Linked DNA regions of Macaca fascicularis. The protein of the gene in region 2 interacts with the protein of the main gene of each other region in a biochemical or structural test. Links are inferred from orthologs where the notes say so. Each region holds a gene or a part of one and is shown on either strand. Other genes may lie near its edges.

Evidence for each region.
Region 1: the proteins of MAGEF1 (region 2) and NSMCE1 form a complex in vitro, tested with the Homo sapiens proteins (2 studies listed by BioGRID). The link is inferred for Macaca fascicularis from reciprocal best matches to the Homo sapiens genes MAGEF1 and NSMCE1.

Annotation. Positions count from the first base shown.
Region 1 is NC_088394.1:26,313,187-26,317,479, forward strand, and holds part of NSMCE1 (non-structural maintenance of chromosomes element 1 homolog), read right to left. Parts: intron 3,703-4,293; coding exon 3,581-3,702; intron 2,792-3,580; coding exon 2,714-2,791; intron 1,683-2,713; coding exon 1,536-1,682; intron 773-1,535; coding exon of another isoform or gene 593-772; exon of another isoform or gene 491-592; intron 1-490. UniProt on the Homo sapiens protein: RING-type zinc finger-containing E3 ubiquitin ligase that assembles with melanoma antigen protein (MAGE) to catalyze the direct transfer of ubiquitin from E2 ubiquitin-conjugating enzyme to a specific substrate.
Region 2 is NC_088376.1:96,642,169-96,646,561, forward strand, and holds MAGEF1 (melanoma-associated antigen F1), read right to left. Parts: upstream 2,548-4,393; 5' UTR 2,305-2,547; coding exon 1,378-2,304; 3' UTR 848-1,377; downstream 1-847. UniProt on the Homo sapiens protein: Enhances ubiquitin ligase activity of RING-type zinc finger-containing E3 ubiquitin ligases. Proposed to act through recruitment and/or stabilization of the E2 ubiquitin-conjugating enzyme at the E3:substrate complex.

The sequences.
Region 1 (4,293 bases), on a different chromosome or scaffold from region 2:
AGCTATTTGGGAGGCTGAGGCAGGAAAATCACTTGAAGCAGGAGGTGGAGGTTGCAGTGAGCCGAGATTGTACCATTGCACTCCAGCCTGGGCAACAAGAGCGAAACTCCATCTCAAAAAAAAAAAAAAAAAAAAACTTGGCCCTAAGAGGGGCTGCACCACAAGCGAGAATGGTCAGTTATAACCTCAGCAGACCCTAGAACATTCTCTAGTACCAAATACAGCCCGGAGGGCAAGAAAAACTGTGACAAAGCCATTGATGGGAGCTGCAGTCCCCAAACTGGGGCCTGAACTCGGCCCTGCCACTCTCAGGGTGTCCGATGTCATCCAGACCCCTGAGCTGTTGTCCGATGTCATCCAGACCCCTGAGCTGTCAGCTAAAAACTAAGCTATGGAGCCACTGCAGGACAGCAGGCAGCCTCCGAGACAGGACATATGGGAATGTGCCCAGCAGATCCTGCACTCACCAGGAGCTCCCAGCCCTGACCTCACCCCTGTGACCTCTGCCCTCACCCCGTGACCTCTCCACCCTTTCTTCCCATCAGGTACCCCAGGAACTGAATTTGGGTCAGGTTCCTGGTACAGGCCCACCCTACACAGAAATTAGTAACTCAGAACACAGACTTCCCCAATCCGGAGGCAAGCCTTCCTGAACAGGAAGTGGAGAGTCGCTGCAGCCACAAGCAGCAGCCTCTGGCCACAAGTCCGACCACCAAGTGAGGAAGCGGGAACCCGACGTGAGCGCGTCCTCAACACACACGGGCACGAGCATCTGGGAGGGCACAGCAATGGTCAACTCAGCAAACACTACGCTGTTGAAAACAGGGGTGCCTTTTGTGGAAAAAGAACTGAAACATTTGTTCTGCTCCATTCAGCAGGACTAGACGTGGGGGCGGGGCAGCATCTAGAAACTGGAGCTGCAGTGGGGCCTGTCCCAGACGTCACAGCTCCTTTCCTAAAGCTTGTCTGTGCCTCTTCTAAGTACTGACCCTGAGGAACTCACTGCTGACAAAAACAACAGTGGTAACGTCGCCAATTCCTCTGCTGCCTCCCCCGCGAGCCAGCCAGCGCAGCACGGAGCACGTTACTGTGAGGTCCCATTCCTGCTCCTGACACACCCAGCCCCAAAGGGGAAACGACAACTTCCCTCTTACAGGGAACCTGAGGTCACCTGGCTCAGGGTTCAGACCCGGGTCAGACATCACAGCCACACTCTCAGCCACGGAACTGCCTCTGCCTTGCAGTCTGTGGGCTAGAGGCTTGGTCCCGGGGCCCAAATCCCGGGTGCAGCTCCTGGCTCTGCCATTCTGGCTGTGGCATCCTCAACACATCATGTGGGTGAACAGGGAGTGGGAGGCAGGAGAGGTGAGGCCCAGATCCTCCCCATGGGGTCACTGCTGGAATGCGTGAAAGCAGATAAGGGATCTGAGAAGGCTGGGCTCCACAGACATCAGTTGGCTAGAAATACGATTTTGGAGACAAAACTGCTATTCACTCAAAAGAGTGAGCCGGACTGGAAAACCATGAGACAGTACCTCAATTAGCCACTTGTTTTGGACAAACTTCTGCAGCACCTGCTCCGCTTCCTTCTTCCTCATCTTCTTGCCTTTAAGTTGATCAACCAGGTTCAAAATGTTTGTGGAAGACGCAAAGCCAGTTTCTGAGTCAATAATTAGTTCCAGCTGGAAGAAAGAGCAGGTACCATGCTTCTCTATTAAAATGGCAAAAATAACTTTTAAATGGTAATACTAAGTCTGGCAGGGGTGCAGTAAGGCCACTCGGATCACAGGCAGAACTGCACACTGGCACGGTATTCGGGGAAAACAATGTAATACGCATCAAGAGTCAGGACTGTGCTCAGTTCTTTTGACTCAGAGGTCACTTCGATAACATCCTCCCAAATAAATCATCTTAATGTCCCCAAATCAGTAAGGGTCACCTTGCCTCACAGCTGGCCTCAGAGGCAGCGAGAGACAGACACGGCAGGCAGGAACCTCTGGAGAAGACAGGTTCCTGCACACGCAGATGTGTGCTCAGCTCAGCACCTGCTCCTCAACCCTGGCAGCTAATAAACCCCAGGAGAAGACCTCAAAGGAATGATTCCAACACCTGGTTCTCAGAGATTCAGATTCGACAGATCCCAAGTGGGGCTGAAATGTCTGAATTCTTTCTCACCTCTGCAGTTATGTAGGCCTGAGAACCACTCTTAGCCATATGTTTGACCAGAGGGCCGAGCAAGTAGCTCTGAAGCCTGGTAGAGCAATGCCGCTCAAATGTGCACATGCAAATGATTCAGCGGGCACCTGGCAAAAATGCAGATTCGGACTCAGCAGTGTAGGGTAGGGACTGGGACTGGGCCTTTCTAACAAGCTCCCAGGTGATGCCGCTGCTGCTGCTGCCTTTCCCAGATGGCACTTACAGCAGCCAGGTAGGAACGCCTGTTACTACCAGTGAGGCCCTGCTCTTGCCCATCCAGCTGGGGCTCACACCTGGCCCAGCACTTCCTTCCCAGGCAGCCATGGGGGCCCCTGACAGCTGTGAATTCCAGATGGGTAGACAGTGATATCTCCCTGCAAAGCCTTTCCTCAGACAGCAGTGGTGGCCCACGTCCCCCCAGTGATCCTTGAAGACTGCAGTTGCCACTTCTAACGACTGAGACAGAACTTTCCCATAAGAAGCCCAGCCAATGGGCGACGGGGATTACTCTACTTACAGCCTTTCTAAACAGATCCAGTTCATTCTCTGCAAAATCCGTAGCCATTTTGGAAATTGAAGTTGTAGCAAGATTCACCTAAGAAATAAGTCAGCGCAACAGTCAGGCTGTGCCCTTCGCGTGTTGGTTAACGTGTCACTGGCTCTCCCTCCCTCCCCTCCTCCGTCTCTGGCCAGTCACTGAGCTCCTGTATCCAGGCACTGCGAGCCGCAGGATGGATCTGTAACCAGGCATATACTACAGACTTTATTCTTTAGCTCAGTCAACATGCTAGACCCTCAGAAGTTTCAGAACTCCAGAGGGTGTGCAGTATTTTCCAAACTCAGATAAATTTGGGAGATTTGTCTACATGTTAATGGAGCTTCAAATGCAAAAGGCACTGAGAAGTCCGACAGCAAGGAAATCTGCTTTGCCGTGTCTGGCCAGCATTTCCATAGTTCTTTGCCTGTGTAATGTTTTGGAAACCCTGGACTAGAGTGCTCCTTTCTGAGTGTGAGCCTGGCTGGGAGCAGCCAGATGTCCTCTGACCAGCCCGAGGTGTCTCCTAGCCAGGGATGGGGCATGTCAGCTTCCCACTCCTGTGTTTCACCCTGATCCCTACCTGTGAGAGTAAATCTGAAAACCACTGAAGACCCCACGTGGGTCGCAATCCTTGACACTCCTACACACTGTTTCTTTTCATCGCTTCTATGTCTTATTCTAAGTAAAAAACCGTTTCTCCCTTTATTCCTAATATTCCATACATTTGGAGTGACTTCTTTACAAAGAACTGTCCAAAAGAGAAATCAAACCAAAGCAAACACGGGCTGCCTGGGCCCTGTTCCAGCTCCTCAAAAACGCCACTAGAGGGCTCTGCTGGGCACTCACCAACGCATAAATGGGTCTCCCGTCATCTTCCGTGACTCCTCTCTTTATCTCAATATACAAGGACTCCAAGACACTGTTAATGTTGTTGATGAAGTCCTCCAACTTATCTACAGTGGCATTGCCTGGAAATAAACAGACCAAAAAAGGGGTGTGATGGGGAGCCTCATCAAAAAAACGTAGCTTGCTTGAATAATTCCATCCCATCTCAACACAGGGGACAGCAACCCCAGACACGGGCGGAGGCTGCAGCCTCTTGGGTGAATGCCAGTGCCGTGTGGCTTCTTTCTTCCTGGAGTACTTGGAAGACAAACAGACAACAGATGGAGGGCGTTGTGAGGCAGGAGGGCCGGGGAGATGCTATCTGCAACCACGGAGGCTGCCGCGGGCTTCCTGTCTTTGCTCGCTGCCTCCCGATGAGAGTCTGGATCAGCACCTTCAGTGTATCACTCAATGACGTGCTCAGAACGTGCACTAAGCTCCCGCTGCACGCACATCCCATCCCATCTCAGCCCTTCTACCTCGTCCCCAGTGCCCCGCGAGAGGCCTCTGTCCCTTTGCATCCCCACACGTCTTAGGTGGAGCTTTATTCCTTTCTTTTTTTATTCAGTGTCCACTCATCCTCACTTACATGCCAGGCTTGTGCTAGGTCCTGGGCTGGAACAGTAAGAATAACAACAACCGGGGTGAGAAGGGCGGCTTGCAGCAAGCCCTCA
Region 2 (4,393 bases):
AAGTCTCCTCCAAATGGGAGGTGGCAGGTGGAAAGCAGTAGGTAGAAACATGGAAGGGAGAACTGGGCTTCCTGGTGCCAGAAGAGAAATCTTGAAGTGGAAATTCTTGGTAGTAGTAGATTTATGTACCCTTCGTTCACACTACATAATATTCCAGAAGTATTACCTTATTTGATCTCTGAGGGCTTTGGTAGAAGAGGGAACCCTGTAGAAGTTGAAAAGGAGACAGAAAGGGTCAAAATTTTAACAATCACCATCTTTGTGCACTGTTAACAATCTGGTCTGGAAAGAGGACACTGGTGAAGGTAGAGTATTTTCCAGATCTGCCATGTATCAAGTACTGCTCATGTTACTGAGTAGTAGCTGTAATCTGAAATCAGTATTTTTATTTTTTATTTTTTTCTGAGAAAGGGTCTTGCTCTATCGCCCAGGCTGGAGTGCTGTGTCGTGATCTCGGCTCACTGCAACCTCCACCTCCTAGATTCAAGGGATTCTCGTGCCTTGGCCTCCCAAGTAGCTGGGATTACAAGCGTGCACCACCACGCCTGGCTAATTTTTGTAATTTTAGTAGAAACAAGGTTTCTACTACTGACCAGGGTGGCCAGGCTGGTCTTGAACTCTTGACCTCAGGTGATCAGCCCGCCTCAGCCTCCCAAAGTGCTGAGATTACAACAAACCTCACTCAATCACCCCAGCTGGGTTAAATATCCCTTTGTAGTCTTCAACTTACTGCACTGTTAATTTCTCGTTTATTTACTTACTCTCCAACTCTGAAAAAAAGCAGGACCTTTATCTTGTTTAGTATTCTAACCCCAAGTGCCCACACAGTGCATCACAAAAAACAAGATACTCCACAAATGTTTAATTTATTAAATGTACCAGGGTATACTAATTCATTACATTTTAATTTTTCTATAGATACTCAAATAGCTAAGCAAATGGAGGTACATGCCAGCCTTTCTTCTTTTATATACAACAGACAAAAGTATTGGGAGGCTAGACACCAATCAGCTATTTTTTCTCCTGGAACCAGATCATCATACTGCTGAGTTCCTTCAAACCATTAAAGTACAGCCTTCCTTCCAATGCTCCATAATCTGTTCAAAATCACAGTATAAATACAAAGTTCTTCAAGCCATTTTACAAAACCAGCAAAACTCTACAACAAAATCCTACAGGAAAAAGTAGAACAATCTCATTTACAAACAGCATTTTAACAGTATTATTAAATGTAACAAAACATAAGATACAAAATCTAAATCCTTAAAGTCACACTATTTCTACAGAAATAAGACCCTCGCCCCACCTATACTACTTATGACTCAGGACAGTAGCTCATCCCCACGGGGACCCCACTGGCCAACTTTTCACCAACCCTCACCAGAGGTGGATGCCGGCCCTAGCACTGGCCCTGGCCCTCATACTGGCTTCAGCTCTGGCCTTGGCTCTGGCCCTGTCGGCCTCGTCTGCTAGGGCCTCACGGTACTGCACTGGCCAGTGCTGGGGTTCCTTCTTATGCAGCTTGGCCACGAACCCCAGGACTTTCATCTTGCTGATTTCCAGGTTGCTTCGGGGACCCCAAGAGAATTCATATTCCGGTGGACTGGTGTGAGGCACCCGCCTGTAACTGAGGTATCGCTGCTGCACAAAATCTTCCATAATAAGCCTCTTCGGATACCCAAAGAGGAAATGATACTTTGAGGGTTGCATCCCCAACCGATGCAGCATCTCCCAGACTTGGGCTTCCCTGGCCCTATTACCTCTCATATAGATAAGGCCCAGGATCATCATTAACAGACCCAACCTGGGGCCATCTCCTCCCAGATCCTCCTCCTCCTCTTCCTCCTCAAGAGGTTTTAGTTTGTTGATCAGGATGTAAGTGTGGTGCTTGCGGTCAAACTGTTTCAGCTCAAAACCAAAGACATACCGCAGATGCTCTGCGGCCCTTGCGATGATGTTCGGGAACAGAGCCTTCAAGTCTCCAATAACGTATTTCACCATCTCCGAGCGTGTGATGGGACTCTTCTTCTTGTCTTTCACCAGGAGGAACTGCACCAACTCCGCCACCGTCCGATTCAGACGGCGGCAGGCCCTGCGCCTTGCCAAGGCTTTGGCTGCCAAGGCCCTCGCGCCTTTCCGGGTGAGGGCGGGCTCCGCAGCCCCCTCCTCCCTCCCGGCGCCAAGCTCCTCCTTGGGGCGCTCCTGCGAGGCGGTCCGGGCCCGGGTCTCACCATCATGGCCGCCATCCTTCTCCCCCTCGGCCTGCGGGACCGGGAGCCCCCTGCTCTCTGGTGTCTGCAACATGTTTTCGGGCAGGCAGGTGCACAGCGCGTGCACGGGCCGAGGGGTGTGGAAGCCGCCGTGCAAGCCCCGGGGGAGAGGCTGGACAGCGGCTGGGGCGGCGGGAGTACGAGGAGCAATGGCAGAAGGAACTTTGTAGCTGCTGGGCCGCACCACACGGGAGTCAAACCTGCTGCCGCAACGCCGCCAGCAGCCGGGACCTGCGGCGCGCAGCCTCAGTCCGCGCCCGCGCGAGGGGCCGCTTCCGGCCACCTCAGCCAGGATGGCGACCCTAGCGCCGCGCGAAGCCCCTCCTTTTCCGGCCCCTTCTGGGTGGGGGCGTGTGCCCGGGCTGCTATAAGTGGAAGTGCCCTGGAGGGTGGGACGTGGGTGCACCCTGTGCCGGATTTTAGGCTCGAAAACTCGGGGGCGGGGAAATGTAACCAGGACTCTCCCATCCAAGGCATGCAGACTGGGGAAGTTTCAGTGTACAAGGGATGAAATAGGGATGGAGTGCCACTCACGTTCTTTCTGCAAGTGCCTATTTGTAAGTGTGTGTATCTCGGATTTTCAGTGCTTTACCGTGGCTCTAGTGCAGAGTGCACGGTGAAGGCTGGGAGGTAAGACTGTGCGAGACAATTAGTAAGGGATGCTAGGGAGATTGAAATTTATTCTGGACATAAAGAGAAAATACTGCAGCGGGATTTAAGCAAGTGAGTGTCCAGACCAGATCTGTGTCTTCATGTTCTGGTGGTATTGTGGAAGATGGATTGGAGTTCGGCCGGCTAAAAGCTATAATCCAGTTTGGAGGATTATTATAGTGCAAACTAGGAATTGGGACCTGGCCTATTCACTGGGGTGTATCTTCAGTGCCTAGAGCAGTGCCTGACACAGAGAGGAACTCAATAAATATTATTCAATGGGTCATTATGGTAAGGGAGTAAGGACAGCAGATTCCATGGGGATCAGAGGAAAATGATAAGATATACTGAGGAAGTACAGCAGAAATAGGGACTGGTTGGAAGAAAGGGGAAGTTTTTTGGTTTTGTTTGTTTGTTTTTGTTTTGCTTTTTGTTTTTGCCCAAGTCAAATTTGACTACTGCCATGTATTTCTTCTTTTTCTCTTTTTACAGACTCTGAGCTTGCTTCCGCTTCTTGCTCCTTCCTTCCTTCTTTACTTCCCTTCTTCTTTCCTTCCTCCCCTTCTACCTTCCTCCCTCCCTCCTTCCCTCCCTCCTTCCCTTCCTGCCTCCCTTCCTCCCTCCCTCCCTCCCTCCCTCCCTCCCTTCCTTCCTTCCTTCCTTCCTTCCTCCCTTCCTTCCTCCCTCCCTCCCTCCCTCCCTCCTTTCCCTGTCTGAAATGCCTTCTTTGTTACCTCCATTTCTCCAAATCCTGTCCACCATTCAGGGCCCAGTTTAAACATCACCTTCCCAAACCTTCGTTAGTCACCATGCATAGAAGTTATTTATTGTCATCTCTGAATCACCTTAGCAATTTGTTAACAACCACGTATACAGGCCTATTAGGTGCCAAGCTCCATTCTAAGCATTTTTCAAATATTAATTCATCGGATTCTCACTAATGTAGGTACTAATACCATCATCCCCATTTTATAGATGATTGTGTCTTTTCTGTGGCACAGTTTGCTACTTACTGGCTGTATAATCTTGGGCAAGTTACCTAAACTTCTGCCCTTCTGTTGCCTTATCAGTAAAATGAGTATAATAGTAGTAACAGCATTGTGGAGATTATGTGAAGTAACGCACATAAGCATTTAACACAGTGCTTGGTACATATTGATATTCAATAAATGTTAGCTGTTAATTATTGCATATTTTTATATGCAATATACAATATTAGAATTGCAAGATGAACTGTCCTGGAATGCCTAGCACTCTGTGGAGATGCGGAGGAGGTGTCCTGGGACAAAGCACAGAACCAGGTCAGTACTCACCCATTCTGTGACCTTGCACAGGATGCTCAAACACTCTGGGCCACTTTTTTCCAATACTGTAGCCCTGCTAGGTAAGTGGTATTATTAGCCCCATTTTCCAGGTGAGGTTACACACAAGGAGGTTAAGCAACTTGCCCAACATCACACAGCTGGGACGTG